Sus scrofa: one gene and its partner. The protein of the gene in region 2 purifies or fractionates together with the protein of the main gene of each other region. This does not show direct contact. Links are inferred from orthologs where the notes say so. Each region holds a gene or a part of one and is shown on either strand. Other genes may lie near its edges.

What was found.
Region 1: the proteins of TRERF1 (region 2) and DNTTIP1 purify together in Homo sapiens (affinity purification with mass spectrometry; 3 studies listed by BioGRID and IntAct, with this or other methods). This does not show direct contact. The link is inferred for Sus scrofa from reciprocal best matches to the Homo sapiens genes TRERF1 and DNTTIP1.

The regions. Positions count from the first base shown.
Region 1 is NC_010459.5:48,006,574-48,022,121, reverse strand, and holds the end of DNTTIP1 (deoxynucleotidyltransferase terminal-interacting protein 1), read right to left. Parts: intron 12,811-15,548; coding exon 12,742-12,810; intron 12,486-12,741; coding exon 12,429-12,485; intron 12,163-12,428; coding exon 12,104-12,162; intron 10,975-12,103; coding exon 10,929-10,974; intron 9,006-10,928; coding exon 8,947-9,005; intron 8,850-8,946; coding exon 8,789-8,849; intron 6,589-8,788; coding exon 6,517-6,588; intron 5,097-6,516; coding exon 5,041-5,096; intron 4,928-5,040; coding exon 4,789-4,927; 3' UTR 4,554-4,788; downstream 1-4,553. Other genes in the region: UBE2C (ubiquitin-conjugating enzyme E2 C), read right to left, coding at 794-852, 1,290-1,349, 1,463-1,667, 2,100-2,186, 2,962-2,989, 3,533-3,633. UniProt on the Homo sapiens protein: Increases DNTT terminal deoxynucleotidyltransferase activity (in vitro). Also acts as a transcriptional regulator, binding to the consensus sequence 5'-GNTGCATG-3' following an AT-tract.
Region 2 is NC_010449.5:37,366,667-37,382,509, reverse strand, and holds part of TRERF1 (transcriptional-regulating factor 1), read left to right. Parts: intron 1-2,055; 5' UTR 2,056-2,314; coding exon 2,315-3,754; intron 3,755-5,470; coding exon 5,471-5,517; intron 5,518-6,395; coding exon 6,396-6,546; intron 6,547-8,014; coding exon 8,015-8,323; intron 8,324-11,973; coding exon 11,974-12,364; intron 12,365-13,280; coding exon 13,281-13,347; intron 13,348-14,391; coding exon 14,392-14,531; intron 14,532-14,668; coding exon 14,669-14,772; intron 14,773-15,843.

The DNA of each region.
Region 1 (15,548 bases), on a different chromosome or scaffold from region 2:
TTCCCTGGCTGTCTCCCCAGACCCTGGGCCTGCTGTAGGGTTATCCCGCGTCTTTTTTTTTTTGGCCATGCAGAAATTCCCTGTCCGGGACTTGAACCTGTGCCACAGCAATAACCAGAACAACAGCGGTGGCAATGCCGGATCCTTAAACCACCGAACCCCCCTTTTTTCCCTTCTCCTTCTCAAGGACCAAAACACCTACTGCCGGAAATTAGGTGGCTAATCCTTCCCTCCCACACATACACTCACACACTCTACAGCTCTAGCTGTTTCAGCTGAAGGTCTGGTTCAGCCTCATCTGCAACTGGGACTGTCCCTAAATTAACCAATCCTCCTGGTGTCCCCCCTCCATAGAAATCGGCATTTTGCGACGCCCATCTTACAGATGAGGAAACAGATGCAGAGTCATAAAATAACCAAAGTCACAGGGGACGAATTCTATGACCCCACTGCTCAGCCCTCCAGCCTCTCAGCTGCTCCTACACCCTGGGTAGAGGAGCAGGGCCAGAACCCAGACCCTAAGCCCGACCTCTGCAGAGCCTGAGCACTTCCAACCCTAGGGTGACTAGGGGACATAACTTGTTTAAAAACCCCCAAATGTATTTATTTAATATATTCATCACAAGGGCTTAGCCGGACACTTAATTTAAAAAAACAGAAACAAAAATGACAGCACAGATAAGGTATACACAGATAAGGTACAGAGTCCTGTACAGAAATCAAGGAAAGGACAGACCATCTAAGGAAAAATAATAAAAAAAGACAACACAGGGAGAGAGCTGGACAGCCTGGGTCAGGGCTCCTGGCTGGAGACCTGCTTGGAGTAGGTTTCCTGCAGGTACTTCTTAAAGGCTGGAAGAGAACGAGGAGGTCTCAGTAAGCCATGGGCACAAGGGTTAAGGTTGGCAAGAGGGCAGCAAGGATACAGCTGTGGGAGGAGTTTGGGGGGTTGGGGAAGGGTTTCCCAGCCCAACAGAACTGTCCCCCGGCTGCCCACCCAGCTGGGGAGGAGACTTGGGGCCCTCAGCAAGCAAGTTGTTCGCACAAAGCTTTGCCTTCTACTGAAAAAGCCCCTCAACCTACATGAATGCGACAAATTCTGATTTTATAGCAAACAGGCAAACCAGAAACACCAAGGCAGAGGTGGAACTGGGTTACCTGGTTGAACCCCCCCCACCCCCCAGTCATCCAGACACATTCCCAAGTCACTGGAATCCTTCAGTAGCTGGGGGGAGCCTTTGATGGTTGGGGAGGGATGGCTCGGTGCCTGAGAAGGATGAAGGACCCACCTGTGGGGTTTTTCCAGAGCTCGGCGGCATGTGTGTTCAGAGGGCTATCGATGTTGGGTTCTGTGGATGGAGACAAAGAGCAAGGTCAGGTCGGGGTAGAAGAGGCTAGAAGAGGCTGTCCAACCCGGGAACAGGCTCCCAGGTTGGGGGGGAGAGGCCGTCTCCGCAGTCACCTCCGAGCAGGCTCTGGATGGAGAGCAGGATGGTCCTGACGTCATACAGGGCGGACCACTTGTCTTTCAGGATGTCCAGGCAGATGTTTCCTTGGGTGTCCACGTTGGGGTGGTAGCAGGGCGTGAGGAACTTCACTGTGGGCGCGTTGTAAGGGTAGCCGCTGGGGAACTCCAGAGAGAGCTTATACCTCAGGTCTTCATATACCTGGAGAGAGAGAGACTGGGGAGTAAGCCTCTTTGCCTGAGCCTCAGTTCCAGCTCAGGCCCCACGTAAGGGGCTTGTCAAGACCCCCGAGTTTGTCTGGGACTCGGCAGAAGACAAAGCATTAAACTGGTGGTGCCTTCCCGCCTAGCTGGTGGGACATTGCGACCCTTTGGGCGAGGGCCCACTGGCCTAAACCCTCAATTGCCCTTCATTCTTTTCCTTGCCGTCTGGCCCCTGGAAGTAGCTAAGATGGAGACCCCGCCTTACTGCGCGGATGGAGAGCAGGGCCACAGGCTCAGGGCTCCAGGAAGACACAGGGGAGTGTCCCACCAGGTGAGAAGACTCAACGCAGAACTGGCACCTGGATTTCACCTCCCACCTCTCCCCAGACTCTGCAGAGTCACCCTCACCTACTCCGACCCCTACACTTACTGTGCCGGCTGCTCCATGGATGGTCCCCACCCATTTGAAAAGGTTGTCTGACTCAGGGAAGGCAGAAATTCCTTTGTCGCCAGACATCTGGGGAAGAAACACAACACTTGCTGGGCTGAAGAGTGAGTGTGCTCTTGCAGGGGAGGGTGTGGGTGAGGGAGCCCCTGCCCCTTAACCTCATCACATCTGGACCCAGAATGGAGCAACCAGGCCAAATTGATTGATAGGCTCTTCTGAGGAAGTGGGGAGATCCTGGGGGCTGAATGTGCCCCCCGGGAGGACTGGGATTAGGTTTATCACCAGCCTAAGAGGGAGGGGTTGTGTGGGGGAAGAAGAAGGCAGCTTTGTATCCACAATTTTGCTGGTTGCTGGGAATTCAATTTGACATGCCATTGAGTGCTGGTTGGACACAAAGCCCAGAGACTATTCACAGGCTGGGAAGATAAACAGCGTGGGCACTGAAGGATTTGAGTTGAATATCCAGGGTTAATGTAGAAAAGACTGGCCCGAAGGAAGCATTCCAAGGTAGGATGGGATTAGAAATATTTAGGATGAAGAGTTGGGTGTAGGTAAATTTTAGGACAGGGAAGTAGAGCCAGGAAGGACAGAGGGAAGGCCTCGTAAGAGAGCTGTACTTTAAGGATAACTTCTTTGTGGCAAGATGGGACTGGGAGTAAAGATGCCTGGGGGGAAGATGTGTAGGTGGGGTGTGTTAACTTCTTCCCAGAGGAGAGCAAGCTGGACTCATCTTTTTACCCCATGCCTATCAAAGAGCCGGAGCTAGGAAAGGAGGCTACTGATAAGTGACTGGGAGGTGGGAGGGGAGACCAACTGGTTGGGTATCCGGGCACCAGTCACTTACCATGAGGGTCATCAGTTCCTGCTGTAGCCTGTGAAAAGAGCATCTGGGGGTCATCTGAGAGTCCAGGGCTCCAGGAGGTGCATCTCTTCCCATCCCAATCTCTCTGGAGCAGCTGTCACGGAGGTTTCCCTCTACCCTGAGGTCGGACTTAGCTGTGGGCATGGTCACCCCCATTTCCACAGGGGGGTCTTAGTGAGTCCACACCCTTCCTAATGCCAGGCTCCCGGAAGGAGAGCTCTGGCTTATTCTTAACCCCTAATTCTGCTTCTCTGGCGTCTCTCTCTGTGCAGGATCTCAATTTCTCACCTTCTAGCCCCCTTCCCCGCCGCCCTCCAGCCAAGCCACAGAGGGTCCCCAGGGCATCTTCATCTTGGCTCATCCACGGAGGATCCTGGCAGCATCCCTACCCCTTCTGTCGTCCTTCAGAAGTAGGCGATCTCCTGGCGTGTACCTCTACCTCTCATACCTCAGCTGCTCCAGGAGAATGTGGGGGTCCCCGGAAGTCTTTGCTCTGGGCTTCAAATGCCTAGGGCGTGCCAGGCCCGGCAAGTGTTCCCTCGGCACCACTCACCTCTTGCCCACGGGGCCCCGAGCGGCACCCCCGCTGGGCTCGGCTCCTTTACGGGCGGCCGCGAAACTGGCGGCGGCTGGGTCGCGGTTCTGGGAAGCCATCTGGGCAGCGCTGGGAGGGAGACAGGATCTCAGGGTATCCGGAGACCACGGCTGCAACTGCAGGGCCGCGGTCCCGCCCGCCCGCGTTTGAATTGTAACCCTCCGGAGGTGCCGGCCAATCAGTGGCTCGCTTGGGTTTAATCCAGCCAATGGGGCGCTCTGTCACTGCTGCATCCACCCACCAGCGCACCACTATTGGGCGGCTGGATCCCTCTTCAGATGGGCGATTGGTAAGAGAGGCTGTCATTAACTAACGAATCTGTAGTGGATTGGTGGCCTTTGGAAAACGCCGACCATTAAATGGCCTAGAAGACATCCACGTGGGATGAATCCCTTGGCTACTACCGCACGCCGGCTTAGGACTCCCTGCTCGCAGAAGGGAGGGTCTCCGATTTCGGGGCCCTGGTACTTATCCCCCAAACCGGATACCCCAGCTCCTCCACTTGTTATTAATGTCCTGGGCACTTTGGTTAGGGCCTTAAGGGTCTGAACCGTCAGGCGAGGGTAAAAACTAGTGGCCGAGGGCCAGAGCCAGAGACCCCCTACTGGAAAACAGGTTCAACGGTGGCCTCTCCAACGGCTTCCTGTGCTACCCTAGGCACTTAATTTCGTGTTTTAACCTTAAAACGGGGGTAATAAAAGCCGCCTTACATTTTCCTGCTGGTTTGTCATCAAATGTCCATGATCCCAGCCGTCACATTCTGCTACTCCCATGCCTTAGTTGGGTGAGGAGATAAACAGGGACAGGAAAGGCTGGCAGCAAGGTACAGGCTGTTCCCAGTTTCTCACGGAGCAGATACGCACAGGCCACTGGGCTTCCTGGGATGGGGGAGGGGTGCTTGGGCCTTTATTCCCTACACCCACTTCCTCTAGGGAGAGCCCTTGATATTTTGTCAGCCCCCAGAGGCAGACTTCACAGCAGGCTCACCATCTGTGTTTATTACAAACTGTTTAATTGCTTCTTATCCCAAAAACTTTACAAATATAGAACCACATGCCAGTCTGGGGGTGCTCTGCAGTGAGTCACTACAAACTAGCCCAGGCATAGCTTAATGCTGCTGAGATCCATCTAGAAGCAGTCCCAGCAGTGACCTCAGCCATGTGGGTAAGAGGGCCTTAAAGGAGGGCTGCCAAGTGTAGCCAGGGGACCTGGCTTCAGGTCTGTGGAGGTGCTTCAACAGCGCGGTGCTCGTTCTCTGTCCGTAGTGTCTCCATGTACTTTCGCATCTTCTCAACCATCCAGGAGGGTAGGACAAAGGACTTCAGCTCCTCTAACTTCAGGTCCAGGCATCCTCTGGGACAGACATTGAAGAGGAGAGTTGGAGCAAGGGAAGATGTAGGTCCAGGCTCATCCCAGGGGCTACTGTGAGGCAGGGGGAAGGGTAGGGGACAGACCGCTGGTTTTACCTGTAGTCATCGCTGGCAGCGAGGTCCCGGATGTCCTCCTCAATGAGGAGGTAGGCCTGGGGCAGGAACAAAGGAGAGTGGTCACTGCCTATGATTCGTTTCATTCCAACTCAATTAACACTTTATTAAACGTCTGCTTAAGGTAAGGGCTAGAAGGGAGGAGTGGAGTCATAGCTTGTAATTTAGCAAGGGAGAGCAAGAAGGGAGAGGCTGTCTGGGGAATAGTTTCTTGAGATAATTTTTCTTTCAAGTAGAGACTAATTTATGGGCCGGAGAGTGGGGATTACTGACTTATTTTTGGCTGTCACCTCTTTAAAAAAGGGCCATGGGGTGGCTTACAGTGAAAGAGCCACAGAGCTAGCAAAATAAACATGGAAACAGGAAGTCAGGAGGAAGCCACGTGTGAACTCTTGAATGAAGATAATTTGGTTTTGAACTTCATGGCAAAAGGGAAAACACGATAAACCACACTGTCTAGTAACTGGGCTATGCTGTCCTGGGGCCTGCAGAACTGCTCTGGCCCCAGGCCGCCATCTGCAGGGGGAGGGAGCCCGCTTGTGAGGGCTCTTACCACATGGGGGATGTTGATCACATGCGAAAGTCTTCTGTGGAAGACATTTCTTTCCAGTGTGAGGGTCAAGAGTAATTGTGTGTCCCCTGAGTCATACGACTGTCTTCATCTTAGGGGCACTGTGAACTATGAAACAGATCAGGTGTCCTTAAGTGGGGCCTGGAGCTGAATTTGTAAAAACCTGTAGAAGGGCACTGGTCTCCCAGGCTGGCAAGTAATCCCATGCCATTCCCCACCCCCACCCTCCTTTTTTAAAACCAGTCTTGTTTGTGGCTTATTTTAGATCCTGCTTTTCCTTTTCTCCCTTTTTCTTATTTATATTATGTGTCAATGGTAAGCTTCCTGATGTCTTTTTTGAAAGAGTATAGCATAGACACCAAAAGATAGCTTCCACTGTCAGAAAGGAGATGGCATAGTGGTTTCTGCGACTAAGTGAATCCTCAGGTGGGGACACTGCATGTGATGGACAAATCCCTCCATGACAGTTTTAGGACACGTGCAATGAGGATTTTCCTAAGGTGGTTGCTTGATATGAGCTGAGAACACTTTAGGTAGAGGTGGTTCTGGAAGGGGCTGCCAGGTGTGGCAAGCAAGTTTCACTGCATGTGCTAATTCCTCCTGCCAAGGGCTAATGCCTGGTACCCTGTGGAGAAGAAATGGTACTGTGCCTGGTGAAAGAGCTGCGATGGAGGGAAAGCTGTCAATGGGCAGCACAGGAGGGGTGGGCAGTGTTGCGAGCGTCCTGTACGCTTGTATGAGCTACACAGGAGGGTGCTGTTGAGATGGGGAGGGGGCACGGGGGAGGGAAGCCAGAGATTACAGTCTGGTCTTCGGTGTGGAGGGCCCTGCCCAATCTCCCAGGGCTGGGTGGGTCTCCGGCAGGGACAAGTGAAAACAATGCTTACCATCTTCCCCCCTGTCGCCCGCATGTGATGCTGCTCGGCCAGCCAGTGCTTGTCCTGGGGGTCAGCTGCGTACTGTAAGGGATGAAGTCACAGGGGGAGATGTCAGCCTGGTGTGATGGGCTTTTCTTTGGTTCAGACAATAGTCTTGCCCCTGGATACTTCTTACCAACAAGACCTCGTCCTAGCCTGGTGGGTGTGGAGGGCTCACCAACCTCTTCAGAGCCAGTAGAGCCAAGCCTAGGCCAGGCGACGGGACCTAATTCCCCAAAATTTAGTACACTCCTAATTCCTGCTTATGTCCTTTCTCAAAACATAGCATCTCTGGCAAATGGACAGACTGGTGACTATTCTTTTCTTTCCGTTTTTGTTTTTTTTGTTTTTTTTTTTTTAAGGGCTGTACCCGTGGCACATGGAAGTTCCCAGGCTAGGGGTCTAATCGGAGCTGTAGCCACTGGCCTACACCATAGCCACACCAGATCTGAGCCGTGTTTGTGACCTACACCACAGCTCATGGCAATGCTGGATCCTGAACCCACTCAGCGAGGCCAGGGATCGAACCCGCATTCTCATGGGTACTAGTGGGGTTCATTACTGCTGAGTCACTCCTGGTGATAACTTTTTTAGAACTCGGCTCCTCTTTGAAGAAATATCTGAAGTGACCAAACACAGGTGACCACACTTTCTAAAACAAAAATCAGGACACTTCATGGCCTGGAGGAGGCAGAAGAGCGTCATGGTTAAGAACTTAGTTCGGGGGTTTAGAGCTCTGCCCACGGGGTCCGCGCGTGGCAGGGAAGGAATGCAGGTGGGCCGAAGAGCCTGCACACGCGTGGGTGGCCAATCAGGCCTGGTGTTTTGAAAAAGAAAGGAAAGGGAAAGAAGTTGGTTTTGCTGCTTAATAGAAGAGGTAAACCTGGGCAATAATTTCTTTGAGACCCAGTTTCTTCGTTTGTAAAACAGAGAGTATTAACACGTACAGGGGTGTTAAGAATAAACAAGACGGAGTTCCTGTTGTGGCGCAGTGGCAACGAATCTGACTTGTATCCATGAGGACTCGGGTTTGACCCCTGGCCTTGCTTAGGGGGTTAAGGATCTGGTGTTGCTGTGAGCTGTGTGATGTAGTTGCAGACACAGTTCAGACCTGGCGTGGCTGTGGCTGGCAGCTGCAGCTCCAATTAGACCCCTAGCCTGGGAATCTCCACATGCTGTGGATGCGGCCTTAAAAAGACGAAAAAAAAAAAAAAAAAAAAAAAGGGTGGTAAATGGAGTGTAAGACACATCAGTGCTCAGTGAAGGTAGATTTTATGTAACAGGCAGAACATCTGAAATGGAGACCAAGCAGGGAGATCTCCATGTTACTATCCTTTGAGTTTAAACAATGATTTCATTTCCCAAGTGATATAAATATTAATCAGAAATTTAAAAGTGTGTACTTTCTGGAGTTTCCTTGTGGCACAGCACCTTAAGGATTTAGGCATGGCAAAAAAAAAAAAAAAAGAAAAAGAAAAAAGTGTGTACTTTCTGACCCAGCAATCCAATTCCAGGGATTTAATTCTTCAGAATCAGCCACACATGTACACAAGGATGTTTGGTGTAGCATTGTGTGTAATAGCAAATCTGTTGGAAAAAATTTAAATATCTATAAACAGGGGAGCAATGAAGTAAATTACAGACTATTCTATGAATCCTACACAGCTATAAGTAGAATGAGGGAGACTTAATAACATGGACGAACCTCTAAGACATTGTCTGCTAGATTTACAGTGGTCCTCACACCTTCCTGTAAAGGGCCAGCTGGTACACATTTTAGGCTTTGCGGTCATATAGATCTTTGTCACATGGTCTTTTTTTTTTTTTTTAATCACCCTTTAAAAATATAAAAACCCTGAGTTGAACAAAAACAGGGTACAGATGGATTTGGCCCACAGCCCACAGCTTGCCCTGCATTAGAAGATAAGCTCTATGAGGGCAAGGAGCTGTGTGTATCTGTTTTTTATTTTTTGTTTATTTAATTTTAACTTTTTTATTTTTGGCCTTGCCCATGGCATGTGGAAATTCCTGGGCCAAGGATTGAACCCACGCCATAGAAGTGACCGGAGTCACTGCAGTGACAATGCTGGATCCTTAATCTGCTGTGGCACAGAGGTAAAGGTTAAGGGCAGAGGGGCAACTGGAACTCAGACGTCCTGACTCCCCGATCAGTGTCTATTCCCAGTTTCTCTGAGCCACCTACTCCACTCAGCGGTCCGCCTCGCCCTCAGCTCTCACCTACCTTAAAGAGGTGTGGGTGCTTGATGTAGATTCTCCCTCTGGTGCCCCCCATCCCCAGGGCCCTGCAAAGTAACACACGGGTGGTGAGGACCCCAGTGGCTGCCGTCCTCATGGACCCCGAGCTTCCCCCTCCTCAGCACCAAGACGCTTCACACTTACTTGTTGGCCCGAGATCCCAACACAAAGGTGGTGGTTTCGTTCAGCCGAGCTGGGTCCCACTGGGAAAAGGAGAGAGAGGCTGGTGAGGTGGAGGTCTCACTGGTGGGCAGGACAGAAACATGCCTCCCCAGTCCATTATTCAACACACAGCTGATTCAAGAAACCGAGTACTTGTCACATGCTAGGCCCTGTGCTACATACAGGCATAAAGGAGTGACTGAGAGACAGCATGTTCTCTGGGCCACAGACATACGTACAGATAATGATATGAGTGCAAGGGGAGCTAAAGGGAGGGTGACAGGGCACCTGCTTCTCCTTGAAGGGTAATTCCCAAGTTGGTTCTGAAAGTGAGAACACAAGCTGGATAGGGTAGAGGCCAGGAAGGAGGGGCAGCATGAGCAAAGGCGGCGAGAGCTGGCTGGGCTTGCTGGAGGAACCACAGCGATTCTGTGTTTTGGAAAGAGATGTGCGAATTCCGGAGTGGCAACTGATGATGCTGGAGAGGGAGGAAAAGGGGGGCCAGGAGCCCTCGCACACGCCGTGGATGGGTTTTCCTTTTGTTTCTTCTGTAGGCGATTGGGTCACTGAAGGCCTCTAAACAGCAAGAGCCAGATTTGCGCTAAAGGTGGCTCGATCTTCAGCAATGTGGCTACTGGGTGTGGAGGAGCAAGACTACAGGCAGGGCGGGCAGTCTAGAGGTTGTTGCAAGAGAGCAGTTTTGAAAGATGAGGGCCTGAGCCAGGACAGCAGTGAGGACGAAGAGGGAACAGGACCTGGATACATGTACTGAGGAGGCAGAAGCATCCGGGACTTGACTGGATGTAGGGAGAGGAAGGAAAGGAATAGGCAAAGGTGACTCAAGCAGAGAAGGTCAGAGAAGGTCTGGGGGGAAAGCTGCCGACTTCAATTCTGGATGTGCTGAGTCTGACGTTCTATGGAAATTCCAAGCCGAGAGCTCGAGCAGTGAGCAGGATATACAAATTTTAAACTAGAAAGAGAGGGGTGGGACAAACCACGGGGTAAGGCAACCTGGGCAGGTACTGGTCCCCGAAACCGTAAGAGTGGATCCTCTAGATCACCCGGACAGAAACTTTAGGTGGAGACATGGGCAATGGAGCGAATTCTGGGGAACGGCCATCTGTATGGGTCACTGCCGAGGAAGGACTCAGTAGAGGGAGAGAAGTGCTCGGAGAGGAAAAGACAGTTCTAGGAGGATGCAGGACCCCCTGCTGTGATGTAGCAGAGTTGAAGAAGGAAGGCGTGGTCACTGGCGTGAACGCAGAGGGCCAGGACGACAAGGAGTGGATGGCTTCTATGGGATGCAGCTCTACGGGGACAGAGGAGCTGGCATCCACCTTACTGCGCTTCCAGGTATGATTTTAATTGAAGAAAGGATTCTACTGCTAAAAAGCCTGCAAATTTCTGTTCTGTAGGCAACAGAGGCTAACAGCTAAGAACACAGACTCCGGTGTCAACAGTCTTGGATTTGACCCTTGGCTCTGCCACTTACTTGGTACATGACCTTGGGCAGCTCTGTAACCTTGAATGCATCAAGTGTATAAGATAATTAGGTAAAATGAGATTATTCCAGCCCACGAGGTGGGAAAGAAAGCTCCTGAACCACAGAGGGGTAACAGAATCTAACTCATAAGGTTGTTACAAAGATTAAATCATGTAATCCATACAAAAGATTCAGGGCAGCGCCTGTCACATATTAAGTACTAAAGGAAGAGTGACAACTAGTTTTACTGGGAGAAGGCTTCAGCAAAGACAAAGCCCTTTCTTAGTTTTGCCCCTAATGTCAATCCTTCCTTGGGATCCTCCTGGAAGGCCAGCGTTGGGAGGTGGGATGGGGGGGAACGGTCTGGAAGGGTGTGCACTCGTCCCCCAGCCCAGGCCCTTTCCCTCGAGGTGGGGCCCAGAGCCTGGACTGAGTCCGCCTAGGCTGGCGTGTGCTGCCAGCTGCGCTCACTTCATCATACCTTGGGGCCTTCCCGGCGAATTGGTTCACAGGATTTTGGTTTCCATCTGATCGGGAGGAAAGAAGAGGGGTGAATTCTCCAAGATCAGGCTAGACTGAAAGCAAGTCTGCTGCTGCTGCGAGTTCCTCACACTCTCACTCCAGCCTGGGTGTACTGGGGACCCCACAGCACCAGGAGCCACCCCAGGATCTGCTCTGACATCACCCAGCATGTGGGCTGCAGTTTTCTCATCTGACAGAAGGAGGTAACAGCAGCAACTCCCTACCTCGTGTGAGTAAGGAATGAATTTGCTCCGGGAAAGGGAGAGATGGAAGGTGGGAGGGATACACGAGGCCAACCCCTAAGTTGGTGGTTTCAAACTACCTCCATCTCTCCTAACCAGACCCGTGTGGCTTTATCTGCTTTATCTATTGGGCTTCCACGTAAAGTTCTGTTTGAAGAAAAGATTCTGTTGCTTCAAAATCTTTGAAAATGACCATCCTGGAGACAATGTAGTATAGTTTTGCTGTTATTAGCTGCCTGACTTTGAGCAAATAATTCTGAGTCAATTTCTTATCTCCAAAATTAATTATACCTTAATTACTTACTAGAGAATGGCTCCAGTAAGGAATAAAAGGCACAATACATAAGGTATTTAGACCAGTTATGGCACATGATAAGTGTTCAATACATACTGCTAATAAAAAAAAAATATCTCTCTCGGAGTTCTCATTGTGGCTCAGTGGTAAAGAACCCAACTAGTATCCAGGAGGATGAGGGTTCGATCCATGGCCTTGCTCAGTGGGTTAAGGATCCAGTGTTGCTGTGAGCTGCAGTGTAGGTCACAGAGATGGTTCAGATCCCATGTTGCTGTGGCTGTGGCTGTGGAGTAGGCTGGCGGCTGCAGCCTGGGAACTTCTGTATGCTGTGGGTGCGGCCCTAAAAAGACTTAAAAAAAAAAAAAAAAAAAAAAACCTCTGGTGTTTAATGAAGTTGGGCTGAACTGTTCTGGGGGCAAAACCAGGATAAAATCACCTCCCCTCACTGCCATGTTTCTCGGCCTCTCAGACCACAGTAACTCTCCTCCATGGTGACCTACACTGAAGGAGTGATTTCACCAGGAGAGAACTCTGGCTTCTTCTCCTCCAGGCCACTCCCTCCCCGCTCTCCTTCTGGCTCTGTTGGCCCCTACTCACACCATGCCTGCGGCGGCCCGGTCATTCGACAGGATGTGTCCAGGAGGCCGTCCCTTCCTCTGCCACAAAGAACAGCTGTCAGAGGCCTGACCCTGTGGGAAGCCCCCACCCACTGGGGCGTCCAGGGGAGAGGGCTTTCCCTTCTAGACCGCCAGGGAACTCCCTTCCAATGAGACCAAACGACCCTCGAGAGTGACCAGGGAGGGTGACGGTTCCCAGGTTCCTGCCCCTCAGGCTAGAGAGGACCAGAGATGAGCTGAGGAAGCTCAGCCCCTTCTGCAGCTGCAGGGCCTTCTCCCGGCCAGACAAGGAGGAGATGGTTTACCTTTTTGGGAATGGGGCTCCCCCGATGGGCACCCTCCTCTTCTGCCTGCCGGCCACGCTGCGGGAGAAGGGAAGGGAGTTGGTGGGAGGCCAATGCCCAGGAGCTTCGGGTCCCATGGGGCTGCAGAAGTCAGAGCCCCTGGACCACTCCTCAGCCCCTCCCTGAGCTGGGACTCAGAAGCCCTCCCAGCACGATGCTATTTATATCTGGCCCCACAAATGCATGGTACCTAGAGCCTCCCCTGGAGCCAGGGAGTTCACCTGCCTCCCAGTCTGAGTGGTCTCCCCCCTCTAAGACCCCAGGTGACTCTGACCTTGATCCCTGGAAGCTCATGGGTCAATCTGGGTATTACTTTTTCTCCATCTGAAAAGAGTAGTTTAGCCTGAAAGGAAAAGACCAAGTGTTACTAGTCACTATTTTAGTAAGTAAGCCTCTCTGTCTCCATTTTTATAGACACAGCTTCAAGCTGGGTTAAAACTCTTTCATGGTCAGTACAAAGGGATCCTGAGACATGGACACAAATAGATATCTTTAAAAAAACTTGGAGTTACCGTCATGGTGCAGCGGAAACAAATCTGCCTGACTAGGAACCATGAGGTTGTGGGTTCGATCCCTGGCCTTGCTGACTCAGTGGGTTAAGGATCCAGCATTGCCATGAGCTGTCGTGTAGGTCGCAGATGTGGCTTGGATCTGGTGTTGCTGTGGCTGAGGTGTACGCCGGCGGCTACAGTTCCAATTAGACCCCTAGCCTTGGGAACCTTCATAAGCTGTGGGTGCAGTCCTCAAAAAAACAAAAGACAAAACAAAAAAACAAAAAAAACCTTGAGTAATTAACGACCATTGTTGAAAAATTAGAAAAATGTGAATAAACAAAATAAAAATAAAAAAAACCCCAAATCTGGAGTTCCCGTCGTGGCGCAGTGGTTAACGAATCTGACTAGGAACCAGGAGGTTGCGGGTTCGGTCCCTGCCCTTGCTCAGTGGGTTAACGATCCGGCGTTGCCGTGAGCTGTGGTGTAGGTTGCAGAGGCGGCTCGGATCCCGCGTTGCTGTGGCTCTGGCGTAGGCCAGTGGCTACAGCTCCGATTCAACCCCTAGCCTGGGAACCTCCATATGCCGCGGGAGCGGCCCAAGAAATAGCAACAACAACAACAACAAACAAAGACAAAAAGACAAAAAAAGAAAAAAAAAAAAAAACAAAACCAAATCTGAAACCTCAGGACTCAGAGTACTGTTAACATTTCGATGCAAACTCTTTCTCACTTTTTGCCATGTAAATATCTGCTATGTATTTTTTCTAAGTAAATGCACTGATATTAAGCACAGTCTTCAGTAAGTTGCTGTTTTTCATTTAATCGATACTGAGCACAAGGGCCTTGCTCTTGTGGAGCTTATATTCTGTGGGCGATCTGGACGTTAAGCAAATAAACAAACACATAAGCACAGTGACTGTAGACCATGAATTTTTCTCTGAAGGAAAAAACACCAGCCAGGCAGACGTGACAGAATCACCCAAAGGGAAAGCTACTTGGAGCAGGTGGCCGGGGAATGCCTTGCTGAGAAGGGTGCTCTGGCTAGGATGTGATGGAGCCAAGCAGAGAGAAGGCTGAGGAGAAATGTGTTTCAGCTGCAGGGGGAAGCACAAAAGCCCTAAAGTGGGAACAGATGTGGCTCATTTGAAGAAGAGGCCTCGCGGTCCTGGGAGAAGGAGAGGGGTGAGCGGGAGCATGGGGAGGCTGGCAGGGCCTTGGAGGCCTGTGAAGAGCTGGGTTCACGTGACCTCTTGGAGCCGCACTGGACAGCCCTGAAGGCTCCCTCCTTCTGGAAACAGTCTTCTATGGGCTCTGTGGCCACACTCCCTGGTTTACCTCTTGCTTCTTTGGCCATTCATCCTTGGCTGTTGTTTACTGGCTCATCCTCTTCAGTCTGGTTCTTTTCATTAGATAGTCTGTCTGCTCTCATCCATGCTCAGAGCTTCAGCTAGCATCACCTGCTGACTCCATAATTTTCTACCTTCAGTGGTGGCCTCCCCTGACTTATATAATGGTGTTCCAGATTTATACAATGGTCTGCTCCACGTCTATGTGGGGGTGTCTCAAATTTGCTAAGTCCACAATTGAACTTGTGATCTTCTCCTCCAAATGTGTCCCTTTTCCGTGAAGAGTGCACATATCTCTCTCAGTGGTTTTTGTTTGTTTTGGCTCCAAGCTCAGCATAAGGGAAGTTCCTGGGCCAGGGATTGAATCCAAGCCACATCTGTGACCCGCCCCACAGCTGCAGCAATGCTGGATCCTTAAACCATTACCACAGCAAGAACTCCTCAATGTGTAATTTTGCACCCATCTGTGTGGTATTTTAATTTTTCCCTGTCTGCCTGACTAGGCTGTTAGTTCTAAGAGAGAAGGAACCAAGCTTATTCATTTGCTGTATGTTTGTTCACTTGTTTGCTCATTCACTCGATAAGCAATGTACAAACAAAGGAAAACAATGTACACATATTAAGAGTCATATTCCAGGTCTGTGAATACAGTGATGAACAAGATCAGGCCTCACCTCGTAAAGCTCAAGATTTTAGCAGTGGAGGGGGTAGGAGGGAGGCAGAAAAATACGCATACGAACTACCAATAATTTCAGATGGAAATACACGGTGGGAATAAACAAGGTGAGACTAACTGGAGGTGGGGAAGGGAGTGAGATGGGGGCTACTTTAGATGGTGCAGCCAAGGAAGGCCTCTCTGATGAGCTGAGCTAAATCTGAAGAAAAGGAGCCAGCTTTGTAAAGAGCTGAGGGCAGAGCATACAGGCAGTGAGAAGAGCAAGCGCAAAGGCCCTGAGGATGGTGTGCTGGGGAGGCAGGAGGATTCCAGGCGAGAGCATAGCTGATGGGGGGGAGGTGGGGGGAGATGAAGGAGCCAGTCCAGGTAGGGCTCTGTGGGTCATGGGGAGGCCTTAGGGTTTATTCTGCCTGCAATGGGAAGTCACTGAAGAGTTTGCAAGAGGATGGTGACACAATCCAACTCATCTTTAAAAAGACAGGAGTTTCCATCGTGGTGCAGCAGAAACAAATCCGACTAGAAACCATGAAGTTGCGGGTTTGATCCCTGGCCTTGCTCAGGGGGT
Region 2 (15,843 bases):
ATCGGAGCTGCAGCTGCTCGCCTACGCCACAGCAACAGCAACGCCAGATCCCAACCGCCCAGAGCTCAGGGCAATGCCAGATCCCTAACCCCACTGAGCAACCCCATCCTCATGGACAGTAGTCGGGTTCATTGCCACTGAGCCACGACAGGGAACTCCAGCTTTATGGGGGTTTTGAATGAGACCAGATTTCAAGGACCTTTTGACATGGGCCAAATGTCTTATGGACCCAGTGTCTTACAGGCATTTTGGACAGAACCAAATGTCCCGCAGGACTGTCTCTCTTTAGTCCTAGAAAAGGGTTTTTATGGAAGTTGAGGAACTGGACACTGATTCTCTTATAACTTCGCATGTGTGGGTAGTGCTTGGAAAGTCTTAGTGTACTCCCAGGGGTTTACACACCCCCATTTGAAGTTCATGAAAGAGGAATTCCCGTCATGGCTCAGCAGAAACAAATCTGACTAGTATCCATGAGGCCACAGGGTCGATCCCTGGCCTCGCTTAGTGGGTTAGGATCCAGTGTTGCTGTGGCTGTGGTGTAGGCGGCAGGTGTAGCTCTGATTCAATCCCTGGCCTGGGAACCTCCATATGCCATGGGTGTGACCCTAAAAGACAAAAAAAAAAGTGAAGTTCATGAAAGAACCTGTGTGACTTGGAATCAGACTCAACCACTCTCTCAAAATGTCCTAGTTCATGTTTCTAAGAGGGGGAATCTGAATGGCCCAGCCTATTTTTTGGAGTCAAGCACACCATTGGCTTCCAGCCAGGTGGTTAGCACTGTACACAGATGTTTCCCTGAGCAGGGACCCCAAGGAAGCAGGGACCCCAAGGAAGCAGGGAGCTATGGACTGACATGTGCATACTCTTCCTTGAAACTTTCTCCAAGTCTCTTCTTCTGCTGGAAACACAGTCCACAGTCTGTGAGCTCCTTATCTCTTATTTTTAGCTTTTTATTATGTGCATCTCTTTCCACCTTATACTGAAGTTATCATGTGACCAACTAATTTTTCTAACCATAAGTGCCTTGAGAACTGACCCGTGTCTTATTTCCTAGCATTGTACCTTATACTTAGTAGATGTCTGTGTCTAATAAATAAATATTTGTTGACCAGATGAATTGATTGATGAAGGTCTAAAATTTTTTCATATCCCCTACAGGTCCTAGGATAGTGCTGGGCTTTCTGTAGCAGGGTCTCAGAAGAATGGATGGATTAATCAGTGAGCAAAACATTGAATTAACGAGCCATTGTGCAATGGCTTGAAAGTAGAGAATTCACTTCTCACATGGGGGTCAAGATCTACAGAATCAGTGTAAAAGTGCAGCATGTATGAAACCGGCTATGTCTTTTTTTTTTTTTTTTTAAACTACAGGTGATTTACAGTGTTCTGCCCATTTCTGCTCTGCAGCAAAGGGACCCAGTCATATGTATGTGTATGTTCTTTTTCTCATATTATCTTCCACCATATTCTATCACAAGTGATTGGATATAGTTCCCTGTGCTATATAGCAGGACCTCATTGTTTATCTAGTCTAAGTGTAATAGACACTCATGATGGAGTGTGATAATGTGAGAAAAAAGAATGTATGTATGCGTGACTGGGTCACCTTGCTGTACAGTAGAAAATTGATAGAACACTACAAACCAGCTATAATGGAAAAAAAACATCATTAATTAAAAAAATAGAAAAAAAAAATTTTTTTTTTGCCTTTTTGCCATTTCTTGGGCCACTCTCGCGGCATATGGAGGTTCCCAGGCTAGGGGTTGAATCGGAGCTGTAGCCGCTGGCCTACACCACAGCCACAGCAACATGGGATCCGAGCCTCGTCTGTGACCTACACCACAGCCCACGGCAACGCCGGATCCTTAACCCACTGAGCAAGGTCAGGGATTGAACCCGCAACCTCATGATTCCTAGTCGGATTCGTTAACCACCGTGCCAGGACGGGAACTCCCCTGTGTCGTATTTATTTCTATAATGGGTTGTGGTAGATAAACTTGCTCACTTCAGAGTATCAGGTAAATCCCTTCCTGTCCTCTGCATCTTGTCTTGCAGGTGTGAGCGGCACCTCTTCACCACGGTGGCGTTTGGTCCCTACCTCAGCCCGGGTGAGGATGTAAACCCCCCCGCTCTGCACATGTGTGGTACAGGCCAACAGGAACACCTGGCTCCAGCCACGGGCACGGACATGTCAGCCGTGGAGTAGTGTGGACGCTCTCTCTCTGCTTCTCAGGGTTTCAGTCCTTTCGGGTTTGTGTCATTGACCTGTTTTTTATGGTTTTGTGGCTGGACGTTCACGACCAAGGCAGGCACCATGGGGGATCAGCAACTGTACAAGACCAACCACGTGGCCCATGGTGGTGAGAACCTTTTCTACCAACAGCCACCTCTTGGCGTCCACGGCGGGCTGAACCACAGCTATGGGAATACGGTCCCTGGCGCTGCCATGGATGCTCCTCAGGCATCACCCATCTCCCCCCACTTCCCTCAAGATCCTCGGGACGGTCTAGGCTTGCCTGTTGGCTCCAAAAACCTTGGCCAAGTGGATACCTCAAGGCAGGGAGGGTGGGGAGGGCCCGCAGGGCCTGGAAACCACGTCCAGCTACGCAGCAACCTGACCAACTCAAACATGATGTGGGGGGCACCAGCCCAGGCGGAGCCCGCCGATGGCTTCCAGTACACCTACTCCCAGGCCAGCGAGATCCGGACCCAGAAGCTCACCAGCGGTGTCCTGCACAAGCTAGACTCTTTCACCCAGGTGTTTGCCAACCAAAACCTGCGGATTCAGGTCAACAATATGGCCCAGGTGCTGCACACCCAGTCGTCAGTGATGGACGGAGCCCCGGACAGTGCCCTCCGCCAGTTGCTGTCCCAGAAGCCCATGGAACCCCCAGCACCGGCCGTCCCCTCCCGCTACCAGCAGGTGCCCCAGCAGCCTCACCCTGGTTTCACAGGTGGGCTGTCCAAACCAGCTCTTCAGGTTGGGCAGCACCCAAGCCAAGGGCACCTGTATTATGACTACCAGCAGCCCCTGGCACAGATGCCAGTGCAAGGAGGACAGTCCCTGCAGGCCCCCCAGATGCTGTCCCCGCACATGCAGCAGATACAGCAGCACCAGTATTACCCGCAGCAGCAGCCCCAGCCGCAGCAGCAGCAAACTGGGCAGCAGCGTATGTCGATGCAAGAAATGCAGCCGCCCCTGCAGCCGCTTCGCCCGTCACAGCCCCAGCAGCAACAGCAGCAGCAACAGCAGCAGCTGCAGCAGCGGCAGGCTTCGATGCAGATACCTCAGTATTTTCAGTCCCAACCCGTGATGCAGCATTTGCAAGAGCCGCAGCAGCCACAGATGCACTTGCAGCCCCCTTCTTACCACAGGGACCCCCACCAGTACACCCCGGAGCAGGCGCACGCTGTCCAGCTGATTCAGCTGGGCTCCATGCCCCAGTACTACTACCAGGAGCCTCAGCAGCCCTACGGCCACCCTCTGTACCAGCAGAGCCACCTGCCCCAGCACCAGCAGCATGAGGACAGTCAGCCCAAGACTTATCCAAGTGACCGGCAGGCCCAGGCCATGCTGAGCTCCCACGGGGACCTGGGGCCTCCAGATACAGGAATGGGAGACCCGGCAAGCTCGGACCTGAACCGGGTCAGCAGTGCCCTCCCGCACCGGCCGCTCCTGTCCCCCAGTGGCATCCACCTCAACAACATGGGGCCTCAGCACCAGCAGTTGTCTCCCAGTGCCATGTGGCCCCAGGTACTCCCACCGTGGATGTTGCCCTTGGTATCGGGGTGTGCTCCTGGGCCAGCCAGCTGAGTCTGTGCAGTGCCAGGTCCTCCCTCCCAACCCCTGCAGCACTTCCGTTCTTGCCTTATTCCACAAACATTGACCAGACGCTGTCTACGCCAAGCCATTGGAATTCAGAGTCCATTTTGACTCAGGGCTTCACCCCTAGAGCTTAGAATCTCACTAAGGAGAGGGCCAAAATACCATAGCAGGTCCCGAACGATGCATGTCATGGTCAAGGTCTGATCAGGTGCTCGGGGACCAGGACCAGCTAATAACGGTGTCTAGCCCCCTTAGAACTATATCCTTAGGGAATGTCCTGGGCACCTGTTCCCCCTTTGCGAGGGAGACCTCGTCATGACAGCATTTCTCAAAGGACGTTGCTCCAAATAAGAGTTCCATAGAGGAGTTCCCTTCGTGACTCAGCAGTTAACGAACCCGACTAGGATCCATGAGGATGCGGGTTCCATCGTTGGCCTCGGCTCAGTGGGTTAAGGATCCAGCATTGCCATGAGCCTTGGTGTAGGTCAGATCTGGGGTTGCTGTGGCTGTGGTGTAGGCTGGCAGCTACAACTCCAATTTGATCCCTAGCCTGGGAACTTATCCTATGCTGCAGGTGTGGCTCTAAAAAGCAAAAAAAAAAAAGAGTTCATAGAATGTTTAGTGGATATTGCTGGGGAAGAGGAATGGGTTCTCTGGATGGAGGGTTTCTTAAAGTAAAAGAGGGTGCTGTGTTGCTGGGCTTCTCAGGGTCTTTAACATGCTCATGTGCACCGTGAGCATCCCCAAGGGGAGACCTCATATAGTTGCAGAGATGAAAAACCTTCGCTGCCCTCAGGATCCAGGCAGGTGAAGTCAATAAGCCACACGGCCTGGTAGGAGATGATAAGGTCTGCAGTAGATAGGAGACCCGATGCCCCATCTCATGATGCTCCTAGTCAGGATATTTAAAAACAGTCTAGCCAGGCAAACCGTGTCTGTAGGCCAGATTCAGCTTGCAGGTGACCCTTGCTAACCCTTGATTGTTCCCCAGATGTATTTGGTCACAAAACCACCCTGCGGTGTGCTGGGCACCATTCATGCCTTGGCGTGTTGCAGGTGCTACACTCATGTGACAACAGGGTCTGGGGGTGGGGGAGGTCACCTTGAATAGGACCAGGATAGAGAGGAGGGGGGCTGTGAGGAGGGGTGAAGGCCAGAGATGAACTCCCCATGACCTTGTTGTGTTTAGGACTTGGGCCAGTGGTAACGGAGAGCCTTTGTGATTATGAAAATAAGAGGACAGGGCTGGGAAGGAATTCCAGCAGGAAGTCGCCCAGCTTGATGCTGTCTCTCAAGGGAATGGAGCCTGTCTGTGCACAGAGTGGGTGGACGGGAGAGCAGGAAGGAAGGAGGTGGGGAATGAGTCCTAGCGGGCTTGTGGCCGGTGGGGCCCCCTGAGAGGGCGGGGCCCCAGACCCGGGACCGTCAAGGGCAAGAAGTCTGGAAGCCTCAGGTGTGGAAGAATAAGGTCAGGAGTGGCCGTGAGCCCAGTGGGCGTGAGGGGGAGAGCGGGGAAGAACCCTAGAAGTGCAGGCCCTGGGGGTTCCTGCTGCTCAAGGACCCCTCCCATCAGAAACACATGGTTTTTTTTCTTTTTTTTCTTTCTTTCTTCTTTCTTCCGGTGCCCTGCATGGCTCAAATTAGATGCACGTACCTGATGGCAGAGCCCAGCCGGGGTCCCCTGAGTCAAGGTATGTTGGATGCATGGAGGCTCGTTGGCATTTGGGGAGACTGGGAGATTTCCCTGGATTGTCTCATGATTCATTTCCAAAGCCATTCCTCAAAGAAATGTATAAGAATAATAATAGCAGTTACTGTGTTTGAGCGCTTACTGTTACTCTCTCTTGTGTGTAATAAGGTAACTGAGCAAGAGTGGGTGTGATTTCCATGTGCCCACTACAAAGTGAGCACTCAACCATTGTTGGCTATAATTACTATTATTTTACGCACGAGAAAACTGAGGCTCAGAGAGCTTAAAGTAGCACATCGAGGAAGTAGGGATGCTGGGGTGGACTCCAGAGCCCATGTTCTATCCCCTATGCATTCAGTATTTATTGAGTACCTACTGTGTGCCAGGCATAGCGCTAAGCTTTGCGGATGCCACAGTGGATCATAGCACGGTCTTGTTTTCTCGCCTGGTGGCCGTGGTAAATAAAAACTTAGCCAGAACCTGATAAACTGCTAAGGCGTGTGATCTGGAGGTTGAACCAGAAGACTTAAACACAGGTCTCTAAAGGAAGCCTTCTGGAAGAGACCCAAGCTGACCCTAGATGGATAATAAGCATGGGGGCAGGGGAATGGGGCCAAGCCCCTGAAAGCCTAGAATGAAGGAAGACATTTGGTTCAACTCTTGCAGGATCTTGAGGATCTTAGTTACAGATGAACTAAGTCCATCTGTAAATTGGACTTAGTTCTCAGAAAGCAACTGGGGCGCTACAAGTGGGACTGTGGCCCTGGGTGCTCTGGATGAATGAAATGGGTTCATTGTGGGGTGTGAGGTCTTGTGATAAGTCACTGTTCCCCTTTATCACTGTGCGTGTCCTCTCTGCTTGGCCCTCCCCTTGAGCAGTGGCCAGCCAAAAGGAGTGTTTGGGGAGCAGTTTGATGCCAAGAACAAGCTGACGTGCTCCATCTGCCTGAAGGAGTTCAAGAGCCTGCCTGCCCTGAACGGGCACATGCGGTCCCACGGGGGGATGAGGGCCTCGCCCAGCCTCAAACAGGTGAGTCGGCATCAGCCCTGCTCCTTCCCAGGCCATGTGCTGCTTGCTTTGCTTTGCTGCCGTCAGACAGAGTGACGTGAGCCCCCATGTCACTGAGAGGCGTAGTCCTTCCTTAACAGAAGTGCTTCAGCTTTGCTGCTGGGAGCCAGCCAGGTCACACGGTCCCCACTGCCACCGGCTTTGTGAACAAGAGTCCAGAACAGAGGTGGTAGAAATCCTTTAAGGGGATCCCAGCCTACATACCTCTTGGAGAAGACAGCAAGAAAACATGGAGATGTATTATTTTTTTAACTCCTGCTGCTTGACAGTCAAGACTGGGGTCCCTTGGGCCTTCCAGATCCGTCAGTGATGGCCAGGGGAGGCTACTGTTGACTGTCAGGCTCCAGCCAGCCTTTTCTGTTCACCAGGGCACTAGTGTTAGACTCTAGCATCTGAAGACCTTTAAATGCCCTCAGGATTATCCAGGTAGGATATCCACGTGGTGAACTAGCCACACAGGGTGAATTTTTTTATAAAGATTTTTATTTTTTCTATCATAGTTGATTTACAATTTTGTGTCAATTTCTGCCATACAGCAAAGTGACCCGGTCATACATATACATATACATATATATATATACATACATACATACATATATATACACACATATATACACACACACATATATATACATATACATATATATACATATATATATACACACATATATATGGACATACATATACACACACACACACATATATATATACACATTCTTTTTCTCACATTATCCTCCATCATGGTCCATCACAAGTGATGAGACATAGCTCCCTGTGCTATCCAGCAGGATCTCATTGCTTATCCACTCCAGATGCAACAGTTGGCATCTACTAACCCCACACTCCCAGCCCATCCCAACCCCTCCCTGTCCATGCAGGTTTAGTGTTAGATTAAAATTCAAAGAATTTTTCTCAACTCTTTGAATATCGTTGCCATGGGATTAACTCTCTTCACCAAAACCTTTGCTGTGACCCAGGTCACTGCGTCTCCTGATCATGCCAGTTAAAAGAGCTTTGTCTTCCTTTTGACAGATGAGCAAACTGAGGCCCAGTGAATTAAAAGGTCCTCCACAAGACTTTAATTTGGGGGGTTTTGCTGTTGTGTTGTTTTGCCTGATTATGAGTCCATATCGTTTTTTCTTTGAAAGCAGTGACACCCACACAAAATTTTTCTTGACCGTTTGTTTTAATGTACAAGTGATACAAAGTCACAATTTTTTTAATGTAGAGAACAGAGGGCCTTATTCGTTGCCCACGGGCATCCCTGCCGCCGAGGGACGCGGGGCGGCAGGAAGGAAACCACCCTGCCCTGGTTCCCTGTCACCCACGCGGGATGCCCAGGAACCTTCCAGGTTCAGGAAGGGCACAGGGCACCCCCCTTGGGAGAGCTGCTCTCGGCCCAGGATCAAAGCCTTTATTGTCTGTGTAGGAGGAAGGAGAGAAGGCCCCGCCGCCTCCGCCTCAGCCGCAGCCGCCACTGCCGCCTCCGCCTCCGCCTCCGCCGCAGCTCCCTGCCGAGGCGGAAGGCCTCACGCCTATGGTCATGCCCGTGTCTGTCCCTGTCAAGCTTCTGCCGCCCAAGCCCAGCTCTCAGGGCTTCGCCAACAGCGTCGCTGCCGCCCCCTCGGCCAGAGACAAGCCAGCCAGCTCGGTGTCGGACGACGAGATGCCCGTGCTCGTGAGGATGACCCTCTCCCCCCCGCACTCCCCCCAAGGGGCTGCCCCCCGCCCGCCTGCTGTGAGTCGCTGCTCTGCCCCGCCTGCCTGGGGTGGGGACCTCCCTTTGCTTTCTCGGAGACGGGGGACAGCTGTGCCAGGGCCCCCGACCTGGGCTCAGGCATGGCTTGGCCCCGATGGCTGCCTTGGAGTTTCCCACCCGTGTCCACAGTGCCTGCTACCCAGTAAACACCTGCCACTCTACCGGGCTGACGGTCTGGGTTAGATTCTGAGAGACCAGAACCGAAGAGGTAATCACAGTTAATAAAAAATGCAAGACCTGTCCAAGACACTAAATAGCTCCTGCCCAGGGCCCAGGCCCCTCCGCCGGGACCTCCTCAGATCTGGCAGCCAAAGATGTCACCCCTAGTGTATGGGGCCCTCCAAGCAGTAGCCCTGACATCCATTCTGATGGCCAGTCAGTCTTACCAGACTTGATATTTGCAGTATCATCTCTGCGTCAGTACCCTCCGAGGACCTGATTCATGAAGGCTCCCAAAGTAATTCCACTGAGCCACCCACCCCCAATCTCGAGAAAGCAAAGAGACTTGTGTTTCTCACTCACCGTTGAGTTCTTTTTTCTCAAGTTTCAAGTGCTTCAGCCAAGCAGCTTAGCTCGGGTCTGGGACAGGGACCTATCCCCCCGCTCCCTCCCTCCCACCCCTGGCGAGTCTGTAATCCCTGTGGTTGACCACCTCAGATTTGTCCCCTCCCCACAAGTGGTATGCCGGGTCGTATTTGTCCTTGGAGAGTAGGTGGCTGCTGGGAATCCAGGAGGTGGGAGAGTGGGCTTGGGCCAGAATAGGGATCAGAAAGATAATTAAGAGAACTAGAAAAGTCCAGGAAGAGCCTTTGGGGTTCTCTATGTAATATTGAAGCTCAGAAGAGGAGAGATGGATGGAGACCCTCTGGGGGGGGGGGGCGGATTCTCATCAGCTGGCAGGTCTTGTGGGCCAGCAACAGGCAGAGATGAAATGACACAACCGGGCTCCCGCTTTGCCCGACGAAGTTCCCGATGTGGCGGGAGAGGTAGCGTTTCTACCCTTGGGGAGCTCCCAGCCTCACTGGAGACAGTGAGGTTCCTAGTCACACAGGGGTCAGAACCCCAGGCAGCAGCCCTCCCATACACACACACACACACAGAAGACAGTGAGAGGATGAGCAGGGCAGGCGAGAAAGAGTCATACCCTCCGGGTGGCTGCTGGGGACACACCTGCGTTGCTGAGGTAATTAGGGCCCGGGACGAAGGGCCCTATTACAGGGGAAGTTTGGTGCAAATTCCCTTAGAAGAGCATCGTGGAGTTCCTGTCGTGGCGCAGTGGTTAACGAATCCGACTAGGAACTATGATGTTGCGGGTTCGGTCCCTGCCCTCACTCAGTGGGTTAACGATCCAGCGTTGCCGTGAGCTGTGGTGTAGGTTGCAGACGCGGCTCGGATCCCGCGTTGCTGTGGCTCTGGCGTAGGCCGGTGGCTACAGCTCCGATTCAACCCCTAGCCTGGGAACCTCCATATGCCGCGGGAGCGGCCCAAGAAATAGCAACAACAACAACAACAACAAAAAAGACAAAAAGACAAAAAAAAAAAAAAAAAAAAGAAGAGCATCGTGAGGGGAGTTCCGAGCAGGGCCTTGAAGGCAGAGCTGAACTCGGTTCTGTGGGAAGGGTGAGAGAGATACTGTGAGGAACTAAACCGAAGTGGAAGCACATAGGTAGGACTGTGTAAATGTGAGCAAGGTCCTGACACTTAACAGAAAGACATTAAAAAGTCCAGTTCTTATCCCCACTCTGCTCCTGGCCGCTGGGATGCAGACAGCTGCAACCCTTCCCCTCTCAGCACCTTGGTTTCTCCCCTGACCTTGAGAGGGCGGGGTCGGACCCATCAGGGACCGTCATCCCTCTGGGGAGCTTTGTAAACGTCTCTGCTCTTGGCCCTGCCTCCAGAGTCTGATTAGCTTGGCTGGAACTCTGTAAGTGCCTCCTCTCAAGTGACATCCAGGTCTGACATTCTGGTGCCTTCCCTGGCTCAGGGTCCTCAGAATCTTGCCTGGAGGATCAGAAAGCTCCAGTTTAAAGCTAGAGCAACAGAACCAGAGGTGCACATAGGGAGAGCCCAGCAGAGACCTTTCGCCCTGTGGTCAGAGGTCTAGATTCCAGTGCAGGATGGAAATCACCTCATCAGCTACCCGGGAACAGGGTGTAAAGGGTTGGGATTGCTCCCCAAGTTTGGGGGCTCAGGCATCCTCTCCCCATTCCTCAGCCCCCCTCTCCTCCTCAGCCCCCTCTCTCCTCAGCCTCAGGCGATGAGGAGCCCTCTGGTGGGGACAGGAAGCAGGTTGCAGCTCCCTGGCCTAAGGAGAGCCTCCTGAGGGTGAGATGGGAGTCTGGGGCCCCTCTGCCCCTTCTCCTTTCCCCACCTCTCTGCTTCCCTAGGCTCCCCGCCAAGGGGCTGGGACGGCACCCTAGCAGATGGTGAAGCTGAGGCAGAGACAGGAGGGGCAGCCTGAAGTGCTGAAGGCAGCAGAAGGGGCCCTGAGGAAGAGGAGCCCAGAGCTGAGGGGTGACTGAGGCAGGTCACATGGCCTGGAGGAGCCTGGTCACATGACCAGGGCCAGCCTTCCCATCATCCCCTGTGGCCTCCTGCTCAGGCGCCACCCTGGGCAGAGGGATTGCCAGGGACCATAGCTGGCTCTGAGGGGCCTGGGAGGGTACCACAGACCGCCCAGAACTTTTCTGCAGGTATGCCCACCACTCCCCCAACCATACCACTGCCTCTCCAGCCACACCCAGCTCTGGGGTTTTCTGGGCTGATGCTGGCACACGACCAAGTCTGTTTGTGTTTGGCTTTGGCATACCCTGCTTATCTCTTTCCGTGCATGTGTTTACTTATTAGTATGTATGTACCTGTGTGGCCGATCTTCCTCCCAGGCTATGCTTGGTTCTGCCAGTATGAAACAAACTAACACGGCTGACAGGAAACCAACCTAGGAGAAGGGCTTGCCGCAGAGGAGAATGCTGGGAGCAGTGGGCAGGGGTGGTGAGGGGGGAGGGTCACCACATCCATTTCCAGGCGCACAGGAGGGGGCCCTCAAAGGTCCTGGACGGCTCGCCTCAGCCCTGATGTGACCTGGAAGGAGAACCCACTGGGTCACTGGCCCTGGGAGCCTCCCCTAGGCCTGACCCCCCTCTTCCTGTCCCGCAGCCTCTGCCCAGCTTCCCTGTATAGATTTATTTTGTCCCTTCTCAGAACATATGTTATCTGTCCCTGAAGTCTGTCCCCGGGGGAGAGGTGGGGAATTAAAGGGCCCCCTCGGCTGGATTCCACTCACCAGATGGGAATGCAGTGATAAGCACTGAAGAATGAGAATTTATTCTTTCTTGCCCACCCACTATTCCCTGCCACCCCCATCCCTCTCCAGACATTAGGCATTTCCTCCAGAACCAAAGTTTTCGCCCTAATGGAGCCACCAGATCGCGCCTTGTGTGAAATGGATGCGACGGTTTCTTAAGGCAGAGGAGGCTGCGGTCTGGGGAGGAGGAGGCGAAGGCGGTGGAAGGGAGGAGTCGCCTTTCCAACAGAAGCCCCGCTTCCCTCAGCCTGTGGAAATGGCCTGTGGGAAAAGCCCAAGCATCTGAATTGGAAGTATCTGAATTGGATCGTTCTTCCCGTTGTAGGAAATTCCCAAGAAGCATCAGGCCGGTGCGGCCAAAGCCGAGGACCCGGTCAAAGCCGTGCCCGAGAAGAAGAAGTTCCGGCACCGGCCCGAGCCGCTCTTCATCCCGCCGCCGCCCTCCTACCACCCCAACCCCGGCGCCTCGCACTCGGGCGCCACCCTGTACCAGAGCCAGCTGCGCTCCCCGCGCATCCTGGGCGACCACCTGCTCCTGGACCCCGCCCTCGAGCTGCCCCCCTACACGCCCCCGCCCATGCTGAGCCCGGTGCGCCAGGGCTCGGGGCTCTTCAGCAACGTGCTCATCTCCGGCCACGGCCACGGCCCCGGCGCCCACCCGCAGCTGCCCCTCACGCCCCTGACGCCCACGCCGCGCGTGCTGCTCTGCCGCTCCAGTGAGTCGGCCCGTCGCGGCTCCCTCTCGTTTACGCCGCAGAGCTTGGTGGGGGATCTGCTCTGCATACCAGGCCCCGTGCTAGGAGCTGGAAGTCCTCAGAATCAGAATACCTAGTCTCAAGGGCATCAGTGTAGCTGATAATGACAGTCTCTCTGGGATAAGGAAAAGCAGTTGAAGTGTGCTGTGGATAACCATGTGAGATGCCCCCAATAAATATGCTAAGTAGGAGTTCCCGCTGTAGTGAAGCGGGTTAGGAATCCCGCTGCAGTAGCTCGGGTCATTGTGGAGGTACAGGTTCGATCCCTGGCCTGGGAACTTCCATATGCCTTGGGTGCGGCCATTGAAAAAATAAGTAAAAGAAGTGCCCGCTGTGGCATCAGTGGTCTCTTGGGAGCCCTGGGTTGCAGGTTCGATCCTTGCCAGCACTGCAGGTTAAGGATCCGGTGTTGCCACAGCTGGGGCTTAGGTCGAAACTGCAGCTAGGATCTGTTCCCTGGCCCAGAAACTCCATATGCCACAGGGTGGCCCAAACAAGATAAATAAATATGTAAATAAATAATGCTGAGTGGGTGTACAAATAGGATGATATGCAAGACCACACGTCTGCATTTTAGCCTGCTGTATGAATGTCAAGCAGGAGAGACCTGTGGCCAAGATCTCTTTCTGGAGCAAGAATAGTTTCATAGAAAAAAGATAGCTTAGCAGACGGGGGTAGGGCAGCTGGCATCTCCTTATCCTGTGCGAAGTAGGGATCCCTAAGCCGTGTATCCCCACACTCCATCCAGCTCCTGGAAGACTCCTGGGGTAACTGGGAAGGAGAGGAGCACTTTTATGACAATTTAAGTAACTGCTCATTTTGTTTCTTCAGTACCCTTCCCTGTTGACCCCGTGACCTCTGTTTTTTTGTGCTTCAGACAGCATCGATGGCAGCAACGTGACAGTCACCCCGGGGCCTGGAGAGCAGACTGTTGATGTCGAACCGTAAGGAAAAGCCAAGTACCCTCTAGAACAGCAGGCTCAGCTGAGGATGAAGAGCTGTGGGAAGGGTAGTTAGTACTTCGGGAGTCAGTGTGGCTGCTGGACAGGAAACTGGAGAAAGCGTAGGACCGTAGTATTTCTCAAGTGCTGTTTGTTTCCCTGTAATGGCGAGTGTTTCAAGACCTTTCTAAAGACTAAGTGCTTTGAAAGCATGGAGCCTTGTATTTGGCAAACCTAGCATCCCTGTCTCCGGCTCCAAGGGCCAGTTTGGTTGGGGCTACATGCGTTCACATCCCAAGTGATGCTGAGACATCTCTGTTGGGGTGCCCAGCTCTCCACATGCTGCATCCAAATGCCATGCTCTCCTTGTCCTCTTCCAAAGATTCTTGGCCAGTCCTCCAAGAGACCGGGCTTGAATACTTGAGCTTGGTCGGGGGTGTGGGTATAATGGAAGAGAAAGGTGGTTAATTTCATGGGTAAGCACAGAAAAGGCCAGATGGTAGAGTGCTGAATAGATGAGTCAGGAATCAGAAAACCTGGTTCCAGCACATTTCGTTACTTGCTGTTGATCAAGGTAACCTTTCTAGGCTTTAGTTAACTCATCTATTAAATAGGAATCATTTTCACTGCCTTGGTTATTACATCATGGGTCTTTGTGGAGTTCAGATGGGACCATGTATATGGAGTGGTCTGGAAGGGATAAAAAATGAAATAAGAACTTTGTATTTGTCTCTGTGGGTTAAGTGGTACCATCAGCCATGCTCCGGGCAGCCTTGTTCCCTGGGAATTAGCACCTTCCCCAGCCAGCTCTAAGGTTCCTTGAAGCCCCTTCTCCCTTGCTCCCTGCAGCATCTCTCCCCAATCTTAAAGCCGTTCCTTATCCCGGTGAGAAGGCCATGCCCAGACTTTTAGGATCACACTGTGAGGAAATGCCCCTGCCTCTTGTTCTTGGAGAAGGAACGGGTTTCCTTCTTTTTCAAGTCCCTGACAGTTGCCCTTGGCCTCAAGTTGAAGACCGCACTGTTGTTTTTCTTCTTGTCATTAAAGGCGCATCAACATTGGCTTGAGATTCCAAGCGGAAATCCCAGAACTCCAGGATGTCTCTGCCCTGGCCCAGGACACACACAAGGCCACCCTGGTATGGAAGCCCTGGCCGGAGCTGGAAAACCATGACCTCCAGCAAAGAGGTACTAGAACCCAGGGAAGAACCGGGCGGGAAAGGCTGGATTCTCTTCCTCCCGGGGAACCCTGGCTCCAGGATTGGTGTGTTTTTCCGCGACCCTGAGCCCTCTCTGATGCAGTGACCTCTCATTGTTCCTAACAGTGGAGACTCTCCTGAATTTGTGCTGTTCAAGTGCATTGCCAGGTGGCGGGACCAATTCTGAATTTGCTTTGCACTCTCTCTTCGAGGCCAAAGGTGATGTCATGGTAAGGAACCACGAAGAGCAGGCTTCCAGGCTCATATTCATCATGTCCGAATTCTGAAAAGCACTTTCCCAAGATGCTGCATTGTTTTGTATCATACAGCCAGTTCATAAGATGATGTCCAGCCAACGTGCCTGCCATGGTCCTTATCTCAATGAGGAGGTCAGGATTTAAGAGCCTGTATGGGAGTTCCCATCATAGCTCAGTGGTTAACTAATCTGACCAGGATCCATGAGGACGTGGGTTTGATCCCTGGCCTCATTCAGTGGGTTAATGATCCAGCATTGCCATGAGCTGTGGTGTAGGTCACAGATGCTGCTCGGATCTGGGGTTGCTGTGGCTGTGGTGTAGGCCGGCAGCTGCAGCTTCAGTTCAACTCCTGCCTGGGAGCTTCCATGTGCTTAGGGTGCAACCCTCAAAAGACAAAAAAAAAAAAAAAAAAAAAAAGCCTGTAGGAAAACCTCCATTTGAACTTTTGTTTACACATCTGTTCCTAAGTAATAATGATAGGAACATCTGTCTTGGGAAGCTCAGCTTTCTTTTCAGCAGTCTTGTAATTCCCATCAGGAGACAGGTCTGCGGTAATGGAGGCAGAAGGTCCTCCTGAAGCCAGACTTGGCCTGAAGGAGTCTGTCATACTCCACTAAAGGTTCTTTCCTATGGAGATCAGCCAAAGGATGACATTCAGAGAACCGTTTTCTCCCCTAACCAGAGTGCAGTGTTGCTGTGCACCACCTGGTGGCATCCTTCCAATTTTTACTTTTTATTTTTTCTTATTTGTCGGCCACCCTTGCAGCATATGGAAGTTCCCTGGCCAGGGGTGGAATCCGAGCCAGAGCTGTGACCTACGCCACAGCTGCAGCAACATCGGATTCTTTACCCACTGCACTGGACTAGGGATCGATCTGGTGCTACTAGAGACAAGCAGGATCGTTAACCCACTGCGCCACAGCAGGAACTCCTCACTCTTGCACTTTTGACACAGTTCTTTGGCATCTCCTAAACCAGAACGTTGGTGCCCTTTTCCCAGAATCAGAGCTGCTCAGCTGGGACTCCAGCCCAGAGCAGTTTGTT